Linked DNA regions of Oryzias latipes. The protein of the gene in region 3 purifies or fractionates together with the protein of the main gene of each other region. This does not show direct contact. Links are inferred from orthologs where the notes say so. Each region holds a gene or a part of one and is shown on either strand. Other genes may lie near its edges.

Region 1 (3,968 bases), on a different chromosome or scaffold from region 3:
TCCAATCCAGACAGAGTATTTACGCTCTGGTGGGGCAATGATCTGTAGGGAGAGGAGGAGAGTTGAGAATGAGCCCCTTTTCCCCAAAGGAACAATCCAGACGGGAGACTCTTCAGAAAGCTCACCTTGATCTTCATGGTGGATGGGGCCAGGGCTGTGATCTCCTTCTGCATTCTGTCTGCGATTCCAGGGTACATGGTGGTACCTCCAGACAGCACAGTGTTGGCGTACAGATCCTTACGGATATCAACATCACACTTCATGATGCTGTTGTAGGTGGTCTCATGGATACCGCAGGACTCCATACCTGGAAGGAGATTAAATATTAGCATGGGGCACTCTGGGGTCTGTACACAAGTCTTTGGTTGAGGTACCTACCAAGGAAGGAAGGCTGGAAGAGGGCCTCTGGGCAACGGAACCTCTCATTGCCAATGGTGATGACCTGTCCGTCAGGCAGCTCATAGCTCTTCTCCAGGGAGGAAGAGGAGGCAGCGGTGCCCATCTCCTGCTCGAAGTCCAGGGCGACGTAGCACAGCTTCTCCTTGATGTCACGGACAATTTCCCTCTCGGCTGTGGTGGTGAAGGAGTAGCCACGCTCCGTCAGGATCTTCATGAGGTAGTCTGTAAGGTCGCGGCCGGCCAAGTCCAGACGCAGGATGGCGTGGGGCAGAGCGTAGCCCTCGTAGATGGGCACTGTGTGGGTCACACCATCACCAGAGTCCATGACGATACCAGTGGTACGACCAGAGGCATACAGGGACAGCACAGCCTGGATGGCAACGTACATGGCAGGGCTGTTGAAGGTCTCAAACATGATCTGCAGAGACAAAAAGCACAATGTTAGCATGTTACAAAGCAGCAATGCGACCACTCCACTCGCTACATGCATTAAAGTGGGGCTCGATCTATAGTTAGTACATGGTAAACATTCCTTCACACTTGTGCATGTCATTTTTAGGTGCTGATCTGTTACTCTAAGCCTCAAAACACAAGTGCAGATACAAGGCAAACTGTCAATAGACCTTTTGATGAAAGCTCATCTTATAGGAAGAAATCCTAGAAGAGGAGGATGGAGGAAGTATGAACAGAAGGAAACCAAGGTGAAAAGAGTATACATGTGCTCCACTGTGAGGTAAACGGGTACCTGGGTCATCTTCTCCCTGTTGGCTTTGGGGTTCAGGGGGGCTTCAGTGAGCAGGACAGGGTGCTCCTCAGGGGCAATTCTCAGCTCATTGTAGAAGGTGTGGTGCCAGATCTTCTCCATGTCATCCCAGTTGGTAACAATACCGTGCTCAATGGGATACTTCAGGGTCAGGATACCCCTCTTGCTCTGGGCTTCATCACCTACGTAGCTGTCTTTCTGGCCCATACCCACCATGACACCCTGAAAAAAAGTTTAAATTTACATTTAGTAAATCTGGAAACTTTTAAAATTAAATAGTAAAAAATTATAAAGGTAAACAGTTAGGAACTAACCTGGTGCCTGGGGCGACCAACGATGGAGGGAAAGACAGCACGAGGGGCATCGTCTCCAGCGAATCCGGCTTTGCACATGCCAGATCCGTTGTCAACAACCAGTGCGGCAATGTCATCATCCATGGCTAAACTGGAAAACAAACAAATAAGGCGTTAACACCAAAGACACGCCCATCTGCATCTGCTTTGCAGTCAGATGTCCCATTTCCTGTCAGGGAGCGGCAGTTCCCCAAAGTGTCCGCTTGGTGGAGGTAGAGCGCTACATTCCGAGCCCAGACAAAAGGAAGTGGTGCTGCATTCTCTTGTTACCATATAAGGACATAGTTCGGTTTTGAGCAGCTTTGCGGCTACCGGCAAGGCACGCGGCCAAAGTACAGCAAGAGGGGAGGGACTTTAGACTATCGGACCCGGCGACGAAAGCCTACTCCCACTGGTTCATTACAGCTCTACTTTGTCAGCGTTCCCTCCCATTGTTGCACAAGACTGAAAAATTTCTTAATCACTGCGTCATAATTTGTGCGAAGTCGTTGCTGGCATAAAGCACCACGACCCGTCAAGCTTTAGAAGGAAATTAAAACGTGTGCGAGCCCATGACTGATTAATCATTTCCTGAAAGCCACGCCTTTTCTTGAATGAATGATTTGTCATTTGCCCTTTTCTTCGCCGTCAAACTACAGTTACATGCTCAATTTAATCGAATACTTTTAAAATGCTTTAAGGGTTATTACATTTTATACAAACAAATGTATAACAGTCCCACCCCCCTACATGTGAGGAATCAGAGTCAAGTCTAGAAGGGCGTGTTAGCATGAAGCTAGGCTAATATGCTAAAGTAGGTCACACCCCGTAACGGCGCACAAAGGGACCCGCCAGGATCCAGACACCCTCAACTCGGACGGGTAACGTCCGTAGAAGGACTCGAAAAATTCCCCCCACCATGTAAGATACGAATAGTAATTTTTATTTAGTTGCTTATATAAAATATACAATTAAAACCAAACTGAAAAGCCATTTGCCGGTTACAATCAATTGGCACCTGTGCGTTTAAGTGGCTAATTTTGGTACAACTTGATTGATGCCAAAACAAACAAAATTGTCAATTTTAAAAAGATAATTAAAAGTTTAACCATTTCAGGCCTAAAAATAAATTTAGTGGCCACAAAATTCTGCTAATGGTCACCTCCAATTAAGAATTAAACTGCACAATTAAACAATCGTAAGGTTTCCAAAACATTTGAATTAAACCAAATATCGTCTCTATCTTACCTTTGGGTGGGGGGCTTTTCGTTTCAAGGGAATCGGTTTCAGGCGAATGATATCCCGCACAAGCTGTGTGTGACGGCGCTCAGAGTGAATTTGCTAGCCGTGGGCACGTGGTATTTATAGTCCGTCCGTTGCCCGGCTCTTTCCATAAAAGGTAAACTTTCGGAATCGCGGCATGTGATTGGTCCAGCGTCACTCACTGGGGCACGTCGGGTGCACGCTGTGGTGCACTGAGCGTAGAAAGAGGGAGGCGATAACAGTAACGGGCTGGGGGAAAATAAAAGGATAGGGATTGATGTGAGGCCTAATCTAAGGATATAATGTTTCTTGAACAAATATTAATACATATAGAGTTTACAAAGTTTCAAATATATATAAAATATGAACCTGTATAAAGCTTTCGAGCAAGTCCCCCTGCTTATCTGATCATTCAAACAGCAGAGCACAGGCTGCTCCTCCCTGTGAATACTTTTCCTCTTAAAACCTGTCTCTCAAGATTTCAGTCTGGAAATGCAAGATATGTTTGATGCAATTTGAGGACAATTACAATGTGGATGTTGCTGCACACTCTGGAAAGCAGAATGCCACCTCAGATGGAGTCAGAGACCCTCCAAGCCAAACACATGACTCACAAAAGACACTATGGACTGTAAAAGTGCCCTGTCAGAGGATGGACAATAACCACTTTTCCCACTAAGCAATGGTAAAAACTCAATCTCACTAATACCAATTGACCATGTATGGCATTAGTCTGGATTCTTGTTAACTTCTCAGAGCTCTTGCTACTTCCTCTTTCCCCTACAAATGAAGAAAAAAGGTCCACATAAGAGGACACTAAGGCTGACTTGCATCTACTTTTAGTCATAAATGACCTATTGAGTGAAAATAACCACTGTCAGACCCAACCCATACGCTACTATACATTCACCTTAATCGATTAAACTCAGAGAGAGACAAATAAAGTCACACATGCTCTTATTTCCTCTCTGTGGTTTACTGCAAAGGGTGTAACTTTCCTGACTTTGGGTTTTATAGGCTTAGGGTTCTTTGCTTTTACCTTACTTGTCTTCCATTCATTAGTTTCACAGTTTATTTAAACTTTTTTTGCTCCAGAAACATAGCTGCCCATACAAGTTAAATAACCCAGAGGCCATTTAAACATGTCACTGTCTGCGAGACACAAGCAGCAACTACTTTTCTTCCTCTTGTACCACTTCCTCTTCCTCGCT
Region 2 (4,228 bases), on a different chromosome or scaffold from region 3:
GTTCTAAGACGAAGGAAAAGATTATTTGAAACAGCAGTCTTTTTTTAACTGACGCACAATTTGATCGTGCCTTTAAACTCTGCAATGCTCAAAACTTATTAGCAAAAGTGTGATTGTCAATAAAAACCTCTGCTTTTCAGAGATGTGACACATGGATTAGAATTGTAATGAACTCACAGTCCAGCAGGAAGTTCTTCCACTTCATAGTCAAACAGATGCTGAAAAGCCTGAACCAACACAAAGTCTGTGAGGGCAGAGAAACACCAAGTGCCCAATAGAAAGGACTGAAAACAAAAACAGCAAAGAGTCAGATGACAGGAGTAGTGAACAGCATCAAATACAATCATCTTCTTTTTTTTAAGGCAGGTTTGGAGATTTAACCGCAAATAAAGCTCAGACTCATCCTGCAAAACAGTTCTCAATAATAATTTCTCCGCACACTGACTGAATCTGTCATTTCTTTCCAGTTTTGTGCTCATCTTTAGGTGGTTTTTCGAAAGACTAAATCTGCAATGCTACCCAGAACCAAGAACTTGTATCTTTGTCCAGCACTAGAGTTCAAGACAAGGTTTCATCTCTGCCCCAAAAAAGAGAAACTATCCAAAGAGAGAAACTTTAGTGAGGAAGAGCATCCTCCACTTAAACACTCACGGCAAACTTCCTGGTGCCGAACCTCCTCTCAAAGATCCTAAAGTTGTAAATCAGCAGGCTACAGCAAAAGCAGTCCTTAACATCTAGACAGACAAGTCTTCCACACAACAACCTCCACACCTAGAAAACATGGAAAAAAATAAAATGTAAAAAAAAAAAACATTATGGAAAACATAAAGCATATACAGTTCAATTTTCAAAGCATTTGGATGTTTGTGTTCTTTATCATAGTGAACAGAACAAAAAGGTTGAACTAAATAAAGTTAGAAAATTGAAGTACAGATATATAAAAAAAACACCTGTTAAGTAACCAGAATTATCTCTAAAAATGTGGAATAAACCACAAACTAATTGGACCACAGAACACATTTCTCATATTTTTTCTATTACGCTGAGGTCAACATGGTTAACATGGGTTGTTGTGAAAACAAAAAAAATAAAAATAAAAAATACTAAATGAATAAAACTAAACTGTCAGAATCATTTATTGTCTTCACAATTGTTAAATGCAATGAGATTGGAGCAGCTGAAGACAAACAGAAGAGATCAATGTGCAAAAAGTGGTCATGGTGTAAATGAGGGCTGCACGATATGAGGAAAACTCGCGATACGCGATATTAATGATCAATTTTGCAAAGACAATATAACGTGCGATATATGACCATCCGATTGGTCAAATGCATAAAGGGATTTATTTGATTGGCAAAACACTTTGAGCTGGTATAAGATTCTTAAAGCACATTTAAAGTAACCGTTTATTGCTAATTTTTGCCGTCTTTTGTGATAACAATAAATTTGTTATTTATTGTGCAGGCCTAGTTTAAATCATTTGAAGAGGAAGAGGTACATTTTAATAAATAAAAAGAGTAAAGAGCAGTAACAAGTAGAAAGTCCAATTTCCAACAAGGGTATATGTACCTACGTCATAGAAAGTACATAGCTAACCACTTTAATTGTACACAAAACAAACTCATTTAAAAAAAGAAGGGATGCAACCATTGATATATGTATATACACAATATAATAATATATATCAATGGATCCAACTATTTTTTAATGAAACAAATCTCATTGCCGTGTTTGCAGTGTACAGAAATAAACATTTATATTTCTGTTTAGAGGAATATTTTGAAAAAAAAAAAAAACAATTTTTTTGGGTTCTTGTTTGTGCTGCACTATACTTCCAGTTATTCTGCAGTTTCTCAAAAACCAGCTTCTGAAAATGGCAAGTGGAGACATATGAGCTGTTAGCAGGCCATGGATTACCTAGAGTTCAGATGTTGCTGCACGAGTTTTGTTCAGCAAAAGTTGAGGGAAATAGATGCAACGACATCAAAACAATCCTTAAACCTTTTCAGGAGATTCTCACAAATAAGGTGTTTACCTCCCTTTCTTATATTTATTTCTGTTCTTTCTTATCTTTTTAGCTATTTTAACTTATGATTCCATGTTTTTATTTGTTTTTAGATGTTGTGTAAACAGTGCATTTGACAGTGTAGCTCCCAAACAAACATACCTGCTGCTGTTGTGTGAGAGCCTGCAGGTTGTAGATGAAGAGTTCTTGGTATTGAGGCAGAAGGATCAGCATCAGAGTCAGTCCATTGAGGACTAACAGAAGGCTTTTGGACAGAGGAGCCTTGTCTGCAAAAACACAATCGCTTTCGATTAAACCGTGATAAATGGGCTTGCCTAATGTTTGAGTTCATTCCGTTTCCTACAACTGTAGGTAGCACAGTTCACATTAGTGGAACTAATAATAGCCAAAATTCACATTATTGAAATAAAGAATTGAATTAAGAGGCAAATCATCATATATCAGATATTTTCTTTGTTTCGACTAAACACGACGGTTCTAGCTCGGGATATCACATTAAGTAAATTAACGACAACGCAATACTAAAGTAGGCTAGCTTAGCTTAGGTGCTGGAGGAACTGAAGGAAGCGTTCGAGTTAACTTGTCACCCGGTAAACTTACAGAGGCCCCGGGACCCGGTGGTGGTAAACATGGGGTCTATGTGGGCAAAGGAATCCAGAAAATAGCCGATAATCCAGTACCAAAACAAACTAATAATAAAACATTGACATAAAGTTTGTGAAAGAACCCATGCTGTCACTATGACGGGAAGGTGGCAGGGGAAGGAGGTAGCTACGGAAGCCTGACGTGAACAAAAAGTACCTTGTCAAAAAGCAGAAATACGTTTGCAAGGGAAATACCTGTAGATGGCGCCGTTGCTCCGTTCACCAAAGCACCTGTGTTAAATTAAATCTAAAAAATTACTTAAATTAAAATACATGTTTTTTAAACGTACAGAAGTATTTAAAGTTTAAATAAACTGACGAAAGACTCATCAAAAAAAGTTTTTCTTTTGTTTTCATGTTTGATCATAAAACCAATCAATCAAAATGTAACTTATAAACACAAAAAATAGATTTTTTTGTTTGAAAGAAAACAGTGTTAATAATAATAATAATAATAATAATAATAATAATAATAATAATAATAATAATAATAATAATAATAATAATAGGTGGAAGTTCTGGCTTGTTACTGAAGTGAGGGAACAATATTTTATAATGGGAAACTGTCCATAGGAGGGGCCATCCCACTCATGCTCTCAGAGGCTATCATCACAAGACCACCCAGATTACAAGGAGTTGGGGCCCACATGAGGCTGCAGTGCAGGATACCTTACCATACAGATTAGGGTGATCCCACAGCCCCGATCAAATGATCAACTCACATTCTAGCAACAAGTAATCAACAAATCAGAAATGAACCAGAAAGAAAACAAGTATGTATTAGCAAGTATTCTAATTTATGTAACATGGCCTTATTAGATTAATTAAAATATACATCACTATTATAGTCATGATCAATAGAAAAATTGTTGGTTTTGATCTGATTTGAAAGCCCAGAAATGTAAATAGAAAAAACATGTAAAAAAATGTTACATGAGATATCTTTAGATGGAGACACATCAAATGTATTACTCAACAATGTAAAAAAAAAGTTCTAAAATCAAGAACCAAGTCTTTAAATAAAAATATGTAGGAAGTTAGTTTTTACTTCTGTTTTCTTTTTCCTAAACTGCATTTCTGCTGCAATGGAAGCCGAACATTTCAATTTGTAATTTAACTAGTTATTCACCAACATGAGGTATGTATTCATTGGTTGCAATCCACTGATCTGACATCTACAACTTCCCTACAGCTAGGGATTTGTATCTTATTCAGCATTTTATGAAGGCAGATAAGGTACCCAGATTTCTCACTGAATGAAAGGTCATTTTACTAAATATCCAAATCGGTGTCTTTTATTAACCTAAGACAGAATTCCATGACCCTTAAAGTTAAGTCCTAATCATGTTCTATCTTGAGGCATATCATCAACAAGTATTTGCTCTGTGTGTAAAATTAATTTCATGTCAGCTATGCATCCAAGCAGCATGAGGAATGTTGCACGTCTCCAAGTTGTGTGAGTTGGTTTCTGACAAAGTGGTAACAGCATTTTAGTCTGTGAGCAGGATGTGGCTACACAAAGTCCAGATTAATTACTTTTTCTTATGGTCTTCTGGCT
Region 3 (2,611 bases):
GGTACTGAATCACACAAGTGGTTTTGTGTGTGATAAATGGGATTGTACACTTAAAATTAAAAAAAAATTTTTTTTAAATAAAGCTCTCACCCCACATTTTTTGTTTTCGTTTTAAATAAGCCCCCTCGTGGAATCCTGCTTTATGGACCCCCTGGAACTGGAAAAACTTTAATCGCCAGGGCTGTGGCCAATGAAACTGGAGCGTTCTTCTTTCTTATTAATGGTATGAATATATCCGTTTGGATGTAAAGTTTTCTAGTATGGGTGAGATGATGCTGAAAGTCAGTGTTCTGATTGGCTATGCTTGTATTTATCTGAATCGTTGTGTTCAATGATATTTTCTTGTTAAAGTATCGTTCTCTCTATTTCAGGCCCGGAGATCATGAGTAAGTTGGCTGGAGAGAGTGAGAGTAACCTGAGAAAGGCCTTTGAAGAAGCTGAGAAAAATGCTCCTGCCATCATTTTTATTGATGAACTTGATGCAATCGCTCCAAAGAGAGAGAAGGTGAGTAATGTAGGGTGGTAACTTTGTCGGTGCACTATGAGTTTTAGGTTCAGGCCCTTGAAAGCACAGCAATTCTTTGTGTATCTTCTCTTTTAAATTCATGTACTAGTGACTGTATTGGCTATGTGCTTTAGATTAGCTGAGACAAAAAAAATATAGACACATTTTACTAATGGCACTCTGCTTTTTCAGACTCATGGGGAGGTGGAGAGGCGCATTGTGTCACAGCTGCTGACTCTTATGGATGGTCTGAAACAGAGAGCTCATGTGATTGTCATGGCTGCCACCAACAGACCCAACAGCATCGATCCGGCTCTCAGGAGATTTGGTAAACAGTCTTTAGAAGCCCTTAGGTCGCTCGTTTTAGATTTCACCCCGCAGCCTTTTATTATTTGAATGTCGACTAGGCCTGCACAATATACCGCAAATTTATTGTTATCGCAATATCAAGCTGTGCAATATGCATATCGCAAAAGACAGCAAATTTGCAATAAATGGTTACCTTAGATGTGGCCAAACAATCTTATGGCAACTTGAAGTGTTTAATGGATTGAAAGTATCCCTTTCTGCATTTGAGCAATCAGGTGGACCCCTTCACGTTGTTAACTAATCGGATTGCGCCCTATTATGTTGTATGTTCGCCTCCTATGTCAACAAGGGTCATTTGTAGTATAATTTTTAAGCTGTTGTAATGGAATGGGAATAATATTTTTGGTTGTTTTGCTAATTGTTTATATACCGCAAATTATATCGTTATCGCAATATTAATCACTGATATCGCATATCGCGAGTTTTCTTCATATCGTGCAGCCCTAATGTTGACTTAAAATGATCCTGTGCAGTTAAGACTTTTGAACATCAGACCTACTTTCAACCATAGAATTTAAGTTGCACTCTATTCCTAAATGTTTGGGTTTTTTTAAGTTTCATTTTAATAAGAAACTTTTTCTTGTTAATGAAACAAATTGTTTTTCCAAACCAGGTTTTCTTAAGAAATCCTGTGGCTTGTTCATTTTGTTTGAAAATGCATTGCAAGTTAAGCTGCTAACATGTTGAAACAAAATTTCTTGCTGGCACTTTAGAAACTATTGTCATCCCAGTAAGGATGAAAAAGTCTATTTCAATTCAAATAAATATATTTTGATTCAATTCAAATTTATAAATTTTCAATTAAATAACTTTTCATATTCTGATTTAAAGAAAAAAAAGAGAATTCCAATTTTTAAAATGGAGGTCAATGTTTTGCCTGGTAAAGAAATTCAACAAATTTAATGAATTAAGTTAGAAGTTTTTAAGTTGATGATCTTATAAATTTTAGGTTTTTAGATAGATGGTAAACTTCTTCATTTTCATTGATCCAATTTTATTTTCACACCTTTCCATTGTAGGCCGTTTTGACAGAGAAGTGGATATTGGCATCCCTGATGCAACCGGCAGATTGGAGATTCTGCAGATTCACACCAAGAACATGAAACTGGCTGATGATGTGGACTTGGAACAGGTTTGTGCCTTCAAAAGTCCTTTATTTTTGTCCAAAATACAACATGTTCAAGTAGATGCCTTTTTCTTGATAAATGATAAATTTCTTTTTTCTATTAGTTTGTGAATATTTTAAGTTAAAATGTAATTAATCATTATCGCAGGTTTTTTTTACATAGTGGTGTAACTTTGGTTTCTACAGTGAATTTGATTGTCTTTTGCAGGTTGCCAATGAGACCCATGGTCATGTAGGTGCAGATCTGGCTGCTCTCTGCTCTGAGGCTGCTCTCCAGGCCATTAGAAAGAAGATGGACCTGATCGACCTTGAGGACGAGACCATCGATGCTGAAGTCATGAACTCACTTGCTGTTACCATGGATGACTTCAAGGTAAACCTGTAATGGAATCGTTTGAAATCATATAGTAGTCCATTAGTACACACAGCTAGCACTGGGCTGGATCAATGCTAACCCGATCAGTGCTGTCTTGCAGTGGGCTCTGAGCCAGAGTAACCCATCAGCACTGAGGGAGACGATTGTTGAAGTTCCCAACATCACCTGGGATGATATTGGAGGTCTGGAAGATGTTAAGAGAGAGCTGCAGGAGTTGGTCCAGGTATGTGTAACA
Region 4 (4,095 bases), on a different chromosome or scaffold from region 3:
ATTCGTGCCAAGAAACAAACTCGTCAAAGATGTGAGGCCGTCCAGGTTCTCAATGACCTGTGAAGAAAGTCAAATGGCATAAATGTGTGAGAAAGGAACCTCAGAGCTGCAAAGATCCATCCCTTCATACCCGAATGCGATTAGAGCCCAGCTCCAGCATCTCCAGGAAGCTGAAGTGCTCCAGGTTGGCAATGCCGGTGATTTTGTTGTGAACCAGAAACAGTTTTTTCAGCTGAGTCAATCGCTCCAGATTCTCAATCTTCCTCAAAATGTTGAACGACACATCAAGCTGCCTGTGGGTTCATTCAAGAAAGTATCTTCAGAATTAAATGAATAAAAAAAAAAAAAAATCGGTATGCAGGACATTTGGTTTTTTCCTAACTTACTCTAACTCTGTGAGGTTGTCCAGGTTCTCCAGTTTTCGGATCTGATTGTCGTAGAGATCTAGTTCTCGCAGTGAGCTCAAGCTCTCAAGGTTTTCTATCTTTTTGATTAAGTTCTGTCGTAAGGAGAGCGTCTGAGAAATCAGAAGAATGGGGGGGGGGAAAGGAAATAAGCCAAACAGAAAGGGAAACATGTATCCTTACTTGTAAATGCTATTTTATTTGACTAAAATGTATGTGCAGTAAAAAGCTAAATGTGTCATTAGAAGTGAACTGGAAAGACTTACTTTAGCTTTCTGTAAAACCTCAAGTCCTTCAATCTTTCCAATGCGACAATGAACAAGATCAACGTCCTGAAGGGAAAAAAAACAACAACTGACTACAGCTTTTGTCCTCCATGTCAAAACACAAATAAAAACACCTTCTCTTTTTCTATTTAGTGTAGAAAGCTAAAAACATGTGGTAGTTTTTACATCTATGATCACATCAAATGATTCCAGAAAAGATGACTGAAGAAGCTTGCCTTTTTATTATATATATATATTTTTTTTAAAGAATAAGGCTTCTTACCTCTTCTTCTGGGTCCAAGGTTATGGTGTCCATGTCAACCGGTGACTCTTCTTTACCTTTACAGAAAACACATAGATCTTAAAAAAATAAAATAAACTTACTGCCTAAACCCAAAACATTTTCCATTATTAGCATCTAAAGAAAAGCAAATCTAAACAAATGACCTCAGCTGATAAAGGGCTCTTAAAGTTCCACTCCAATCAACTTTTGATCCAAAGGGTCTTTATTTATGATTATGCCGTTTTTAGGCTAAATCAAAAACCTGTCGTTTTTTTTTAGGACAGTTTCTGCAGAGCAGCAGGAGTTCATCAGAAATTTGCCTTTTGCAAAATTATGATCCCCTGTTATAGCGTGGGCGAGCCTGGACTCATTTCCCATCATCCCTTTCTTTGCATTCTTCCCCCCACTAGCTTAAAGCTCCTCACAACCCCAACCTAACATTGGGCACATAAACAAAACATATGATGTCTATTAGACGGACACATTGTGGATTTTCAACTTATAATTGCAGGTCATCCTAAGGTTTTCATGAGCAGATGAGGTTAGAGCTCAGCCTGGTTGTAGAAATATTAGAATAAAAATCATGGAAAAGATTTGAATAAAGATCACCCATGTTTTTTTTTCTTCATATTTTTTTTTAATACATGACAAAACAAAAGTTTTTAATGGAATGCAATACGCTTCCTTTTTTATGATTCACAGTGATTTGAAAAAAGAAATACTCCAAAATGTAATTTTACATTCTGATCATTTGGTTCTTCATTAGAATTACTAAAATCATTTTGTGTTTAAATATGAAGCCTCACCAGGTACCCCTGTTTAATACCTACTCATCTAAACAGACAGATATGTATATGCATACATTGTTAAATCCGTGTGGCATGCTTCTGAATGTCAGACTGTGTGAAGTGTGTCTGCTGCTCACTTGTTGTTGTGGAGGGCTGGTTGGGGTCCACATCGCCATTAATACTCTTCCTCCTGCTTTCATCATCCCCGGACTCTTCAGAATCACCCCTTCGGTCAACTACAGCAGACCAAAACAACAACAACAAAAACGCTTTATTAATCCTAAAGACATTTATTTCTGTTATGTGGGACTGACATTCACATAACATTCTTCTTTCTCTTATCTTATTGACACAAAGGCTTGTTTCTCGATTGTCCAGGAGCATATAACGAGTTTCTGGCCATCTTCGTTAATAAAAGGTTAGAGTATGTCGTGCATTTGGGAGGAAAAGGTGATCAAATGAGTTCAAATGTGTACACTCAATTACCAGCGATAACTCCAAAAAACACCCAAAAGCTTAGGAGTCTGCAAAACAAAGATATCTTTGGCGTCTTTCATGTTTTACAAGCACTAATTTTAAAATACTGCTCATTTAAAGCTCAACATGCTAGTTTAGCTAACAAACAATCCCAAGAAAAATTCAAAGCTAATATGTCTAACGTAAACGTGACGATTTTAATTTCCATATAAAAATATTCAACTTAAAAAAACATGTTTGTTGAAAAACTTGGGGGGAAATTATGTCGCTAAATACAATACGTGGATGTTGACGAAAGCTAACGTCTAAGTTAGCTTGTTAGCCAAACAGACATGGTGGGGTAAAGGTATTCTAGAACGACGAAAATACAGCCACGCCAGTATTTTACACGGTCCTTTAAACAAATGCTTATTTACAGGGCCCACACAATCATAAACGATACAACAAAAACAAAAATTTTAAATATGTATACTCACCTTCCATTTCTTGAAGCTCTCCAACAGACTGAGAAGCCATGTTTAGTGTAAACGCACCCTGACAAGCGCACAACCGATCAAGTGGAGCGCAGTACCGCGGCTGCACACTAGAGGGCGGTAAAGCCAAACACAGGAAATTTCCAGTCTTGCTGTGGTTACTTCAAGGAAAGTGCATATTATTATTATTATTATTATTATTATTATTATTATTATTATTATTATTATTATTATTATTATTATTATTATTATTATTATTATTATTATTATTATTATTATTATTATTGATAATGATGATAATGATGATAATAATAATGATAATAATAATAATATATCCAATACAAGCTTGCTTCTTCCCACTCCCTTTTCAAGCAATAAATCAAACTCTACTTACTTCAGTTAATGATCACTGTATTTAATTAAGCAAATGTGATTTAAGTGACATTTTTGTTTTGTTTTCTGTCTTTGTAATCTATGCATTTCATCATTTCTGTAATGAGTTTGATAAATATGTGTAAATTATTTATTGCTTTGACTACAATCCTTGAAATAAATCAATAAAATCAAATCAAAAATCAATCTCCTCAGGTTAGTTTTTGCTTCTCTGAACTCAAAAACCAGAGCTTTGTTCCAGGATAATTTGGTTTCCGTTCCATCGGCTAACTTTTATTTGGCTAATATTATATCTAACATTAAATGGAAAAAAAGTCTGGTCTTTACCACAAAAATTCACCTTAACAAACAAGGTCAAATAAATCCCTTTCAAACTAACGCACAAATTTTACCCAGCAAAACATGATCTAAATTTAAAGTTGACTTTTTTATCCCTTTTGTGAATGTTTTATTTGGTTATTCCTTATCACCAGTTTGTTTTAAAAAAAATTATAATACTTATATTTCTGTTCTAAATAGTTAAGAATTTCGAAAGTTAAAACAATGTTGAATTGTATTCTGGACTTTGTTTTATGCTTGTATTGCATTGTTATAAACTTTCTACAAATGTAAAAAAAAAAAGACTTCAAATGTACAATAATTTAGTATAACTTTTTTTATTTTTTTTGGCATTTCATTTACTATGGGTTACAATCGCTTTGTCCTATTTTCCCTATGCCTATTGGGAGAATAAACCTCTTTGAATGCAAAAGTTGTGCCTTCTTTATTTTTAATGGAATAGAAGACATTTTTCATAAACATCCTCTGGTAATAATTGTGACACTGGAGAGAACTGTCAACACTTGACACAATGTCTGACTGGATTCAAAGATTTGGATTAAACAAATATTTTGATTATTAATGTAATTTGAAAGATGGATTAGCTATTTTGAGGATTATTTCAACTTTTCACATATCTGCAATCTGTGTAAACTTTTTTCTGATATGATTTGCTGATGTAAAAACAGAAAA
Region 5 (4,243 bases), on a different chromosome or scaffold from region 3:
GAACAGAAGGGAGCGTCTGAGCTGCGGTGGTTATCCAGGCGGGGGGGAGCCCCACAGCCCTCCCCAGCGACCAATGAACCTCTAAAAAGAATCTCATGGTTCACAGCTGATGTCTGCCACGCCCACAAGAACCAACGGCAGCATGGGGGCAACAAGCGTTGGGTGGACAAAGCGAGCGTGAAATGGAAAGTTAAACAACTGCTGCAAAATGACTCATCTTTAGCTAATGTTTCTGTTGCTCTGGCGACAACTTACAAAACCCTAATCAACCAAATGTGGGGAAACTTCTGAAAAAAGGTGCAACACGAGCTTCCCACTCAAATGTAGTAGAGAATTTCAAACAAACCTTTATTAGCAAAGGTAGCAGAACAAAAGAATTTCATCGCTGACGTTCATCCAGAGTGATCAATGTCACACCAACCGAAACCTGTGACTGAGTGAGCGACGGTTCTGAAGTCACTTCGGATCCAGGAAACGGCTCCAGGTCCACAACACGAGGGGGAAACCCCCCCCCAGATGTTTCAGATTGTGTATTTGGACGCCATGGCAACCGTTGAATAGAAAATAAGAAAAATGTTTAAGTATTGCAGATGAGGCATTTATTCTTGTTTACGCGAGCATTAGCCATGATTTCCCAGGAAGGGGACGAGTGCAGTAACAATGCCCCCCCCCCCCCCCCCCCCCGTCTGATGTGGAATGAGGTTAGAGACCATCCTCCAGCATCATGCAACCAGCAGCCGCAGTCTGAATCAGCAAATTTCAACACCAAAGAGAGAAATCCTCCTCTGTAGAAAAAGCCTATAAATGTAATACATGTGTACCAGATAGCAGAAATGTGTCGTTATTTTCTCACTAAAAGAAAAGTGTCACCAGAATTTCTACATGTTATGGAGGATGGACCAGGATCTTTCAAATGGGATCCCAAAACCACAAACCAAAGAAGCCTGCTTTCATGGGTGGGGGCGTGGCCTTCCAACAAGCTCACTCCTGATTGGAGTCAGACTGCAGGCCTTAAGGGCCGTTATCCAGCAGGTTTTTCAGAAATCAGGTGTGTTTAGCCAATAAGGAGCTTCAATTTCAAGTTGATGGGAAGACATGTGGGACACAGGCCAACGAGGCCTGGAGTCTGACACTTAGAGTGGTTGCCATAGAAACACCGATCAATTCAGATCAACTCTACGTCTGCCTCCAACATGGCGCCGTCCGTTTCACAAAAAGACAACAAGAAGGCGACTGGAATTCCTTCAATGGGTTTGAGCCAGAAGTGAACCTTCCTGCCTCTCCATAATCAGAGGACGATCAGTTTGCATTTACACTGAAGTGAACCACACCAGAGTTCATCTGCAAGTGGATTAGATCATCTTGCCCTGATGAAACCGGATTCTCTAATTGAACAGTTCTTTGGGTTTAATACATCCCCACTTGAACCTGGAAGCGCTTTCACGATTCTACAGGGTTTGACCCCCCCGGCAGTGACGGGTTCTTCCGGGTTTCCAGGATATTCCTGATGTTTTGCACATGGCCATGATCCTGGATCAGGAGGGATCAGCCAATCAGAAGATGTTGATCTTCTATTCTGTCAAGTGGGTTTCACGGACAAACCAGGAGGGACGGTTCAGGGAGCAGACGTGCCGCCACAGACGCACATTCTTCTCTTCCCACTTCAGTTCAGCACCATAAAGCGGATCTGGGTTCAAATACACCAGAGGTTCTGCTGACAGAACCGGAAACTGTTGGCTTGGAGGACCTGGAAGGGAAAGGTGAAGCTCTGAGCCCAGAAGGCCACGAGCCACTTTGACATCTGTTCTCACGGCCAACAGCCATCTGCCATTTTTAACACGGAACGGCCCGGGAGCTCCCGCAGTCACGCGGGTCTGATCCGCGAGGGGCCTAACATAGACGGGACCAATCATTTAACGTGCTTCCGCAGAAGTGCGTGGAGATCTGCACGCGCGGCCCGCAGACAAAGACCACGCCGCGGGAACGGCGACGGAAACGGCCGACCCGCGCGCTCTCTTTCCGGGACCGCGCTGACACGCGCCCCCGAGGCCTTGACAAATTTAACCGGGATTCACGTGTCGTGCGCTGTCCTGGTCCATTCCGATCTAATCCGGGACAGCTGGACGGGCCCACCAACCCCAAAAGACGAATTCTGACGGGGGGGGGGGGGGGGGGGGGGGGCGCTCAGCAGCCCCAGCACGTGTCCCGGGCGGTGCTCGTCCACGCTCCGATCCCGACGCCGAGGCCACAAAATGACGCTTTTAACATCCAAAGACGCGTAGAAACGAAGCTAACTCTGTTTAGGGAAAAGGTGAATTTACCCCACGAAAAATAAGGAAAGAAAGCTGGAAAAACCAGAGGGGGGGGGGGGTGTGCTAACGAGGGCTGCGGCTAATTCCTGCAGCTCAGAGTAAAACCAAGCCGTCGTGGGTGATTTGTAACAGCAACAATTTCATACATATGTCGGAAAAAACCCATTCCGGACTTCTGATCGCGATTAAAAAGCAAGTATAAACGTTTAAATCGGATTTCAGCGCGTCCGTCTATAGACCGCGCGACAATGTCAAAGGAAGCTAACATCAGGATGTAGATGGAGCCCGGATGAGCCACCACGTTAATCCTATTTTCATTCTAGTTTCACTTTCTGCCTGGATTCAAACAGTAGGTTTGACATTAAAACTTACCAATGAGTCAATAGTTTTTGGAAAATGTATAAATATATTTTTTAATCTATGGACTTCGACGAGGCGCTGGCGCGGCTTCGCGGCGTGCTGTAGAGCCCGGGTACCGGTTTCACCTCCGCAGCCAAATCTGACGTCCCTCCGTATAAAGAAGCTTCAGCCAATGAAATGACGCATCCACGACCCGCTGACCAATGGGGTGAGAGAATGGCAAGCCTCCCGCGCATCCAGCCAATCGCGAAGCTCCCTCTATTCCAAGGGAGCCAACCACCGCGCGGCGGTGGCAGAGGGTGCGATGGTTATACCGACAGGCGTATCCCGGCAGATTCTCTACACAGATGTGCACCAGCGGCTGTCCACCGCGTGGAGGCGACAAATGCGTTCAGAATCAGTGATTTTAGGTCGCCGTGAATTTTTCATCCAGAATTATCCACCGTCATCAATCAAAGGGGTTCGAATGCGAGAGTGCTTTAGCTTTAAAATAAGCAGGTGGGTAAATGTAACGCCATTGAGACTGAAATGACTGCAGACAGTCAGAGCAGACTGGAAAAATGTCTGCTCCTGTAGTGCACTAAAGAAAAACGTGTAGTGCACTAAAGAAAAAGAAAAGTTCATCTTTTTAGTCATCTTTTAAAAAGACAAACTAAACACATAGAGCTACTGATCCCATGACTAAACTGCTGCAGATGTTTGAGCCTCAAACCACAATATGGCTGTCATGATGTCAGCACAGAGACATCAGCTTAAAAAAAAAAAAGAGCTGATATTAAATTACAGATGTCTTCCGTTGTTTCCTCTGTCAGAGTCAGGGGGAGTTTTTCCTGCTGGGGCACGCTGGGTTCACGCCGCTGTGCATTCTTGCTGCTGAGGGCTGGATGAGCAGGTACAGATGGTAACTGGGTGCTGCGTCTCTCCCTCTGCCGTCTCCCAGGGGACCACGAGCAGCTGTGAGCGGTCGCTGCCGGATGCCGTTTGCTCTGAGAGGACTGCATGTTCGGCACAGGTTTGCTGCAGCCCTAAAAGGTTACTTTTCCCACTGTTTGGAAGACGTTTTAAACATTTATACTCTTCAAATGATGGGGGAAAAACACACATGGGGTTTATTTGTGAAAACGAATAAAACCTGGAGTGTTGGGTCTTGAATGGGGGAAGGAATGCCGGAGCTCCTAACATTGAAGGTTAGACTGGTTGAGATGTTGCACAGCTCCTACAGACAGCAAACAGAATCAGGCAGCACTCAGACGCAGATGATGGATGTGGTGGCTTTGGCTTAAATGCTGAACCGTCTGCAGATAATTGAAGCTGGTGGTAAATTTAAAAAAAGAGGCTGGGAAATGTGCAAACAACGGTTTCAGTTTAACAGATAAGATGGAGGCTGACAGACACGATGTTCAGTTAACTGGATGTTCTTTCGTCTGAGTTTTAAATGGGTCACGATCCATCATGTGTGTTGAGTTCTGTCAGGAAACGAGATCCCGGGGGAAATCCTGAGACGCTTAGCAGCAGCTGCTGCAGGTAAACATGGAGACATTGGTTCCTGAAGGAAGGTTCTGCAGACCGAC

What was found.
Region 1: the proteins of vcp (region 3) and actb purify together in Homo sapiens (affinity purification with mass spectrometry, with the first as the bait; 3 studies listed by BioGRID). This does not show direct contact. The link is inferred for Oryzias latipes from reciprocal best matches to the Homo sapiens genes VCP and ACTB.
Region 2: the proteins of vcp (region 3) and ubac2 purify together in Homo sapiens (affinity purification with mass spectrometry; 3 studies listed by BioGRID and IntAct, with this or other methods). This does not show direct contact. The link is inferred for Oryzias latipes from reciprocal best matches to the Homo sapiens genes VCP and UBAC2.
Region 4: the proteins of vcp (region 3) and ppp1r7 purify together in Homo sapiens (affinity purification with mass spectrometry; 3 studies listed by BioGRID and IntAct, with this or other methods). This does not show direct contact. The link is inferred for Oryzias latipes from reciprocal best matches to the Homo sapiens genes VCP and PPP1R7.
Region 5: the proteins of vcp (region 3) and g3bp1 purify together in Homo sapiens (affinity purification with mass spectrometry; 3 studies listed by BioGRID, with this or other methods). This does not show direct contact. The link is inferred for Oryzias latipes from reciprocal best matches to the Homo sapiens genes VCP and G3BP1.

The regions. Positions count from the first base shown.
Region 1 is NC_019866.2:19,166,919-19,170,886, reverse strand, and holds the start of actb (actin, cytoplasmic 1), read right to left. Parts: upstream 2,812-3,968; 5' UTR 2,743-2,811; intron 1,607-2,742; 5' UTR 1,600-1,606; coding exon 1,477-1,599; intron 1,385-1,476; coding exon 1,145-1,384; intron 818-1,144; coding exon 379-817; intron 308-378; coding exon 126-307; intron 43-125; coding exon 1-42. UniProt on the Homo sapiens protein: Actin is a highly conserved protein that polymerizes to produce filaments that form cross-linked networks in the cytoplasm of cells.
Region 2 is NC_019873.2:18,567,769-18,571,996, forward strand, and holds the start of ubac2 (ubiquitin-associated domain-containing protein 2), read right to left. Parts: upstream 2,812-4,228; 5' UTR 2,658-2,811; coding exon 2,627-2,657; intron 2,293-2,626; coding exon 2,168-2,292; intron 772-2,167; coding exon 652-771; intron 285-651; coding exon 178-284; intron 1-177. UniProt on the Homo sapiens protein: Restricts trafficking of FAF2 from the endoplasmic reticulum to lipid droplets.
Region 3 is NC_019867.2:13,580,823-13,583,433, forward strand, and holds part of vcp (transitional endoplasmic reticulum ATPase), read left to right. Parts: intron 1-120; coding exon 121-223; intron 224-371; coding exon 372-505; intron 506-697; coding exon 698-833; intron 834-1,893; coding exon 1,894-2,006; intron 2,007-2,208; coding exon 2,209-2,373; intron 2,374-2,476; coding exon 2,477-2,599; intron 2,600-2,611. UniProt on the Homo sapiens protein: Necessary for the fragmentation of Golgi stacks during mitosis and for their reassembly after mitosis. Involved in the formation of the transitional endoplasmic reticulum (tER).
Region 4 is NC_019875.2:24,805,750-24,809,844, reverse strand, and holds the start of ppp1r7 (protein phosphatase 1 regulatory subunit 7), read right to left. Parts: upstream 2,812-4,095; 5' UTR 2,735-2,811; coding exon 2,695-2,734; intron 1,978-2,694; coding exon 1,879-1,977; intron 1,010-1,878; coding exon 954-1,009; intron 737-953; coding exon 671-736; intron 518-670; coding exon 387-517; intron 294-386; coding exon 131-293; intron 58-130; coding exon 1-57. UniProt on the Homo sapiens protein: Regulatory subunit of protein phosphatase 1.
Region 5 is NC_019868.2:28,987,206-28,991,448, reverse strand, and holds the start of g3bp1 (ras GTPase-activating protein-binding protein 1), read right to left. Parts: upstream 2,812-4,243; 5' UTR 2,685-2,811; intron 1-2,684. UniProt on the Homo sapiens protein: Protein involved in various processes, such as stress granule formation and innate immunity. Plays an essential role in stress granule formation.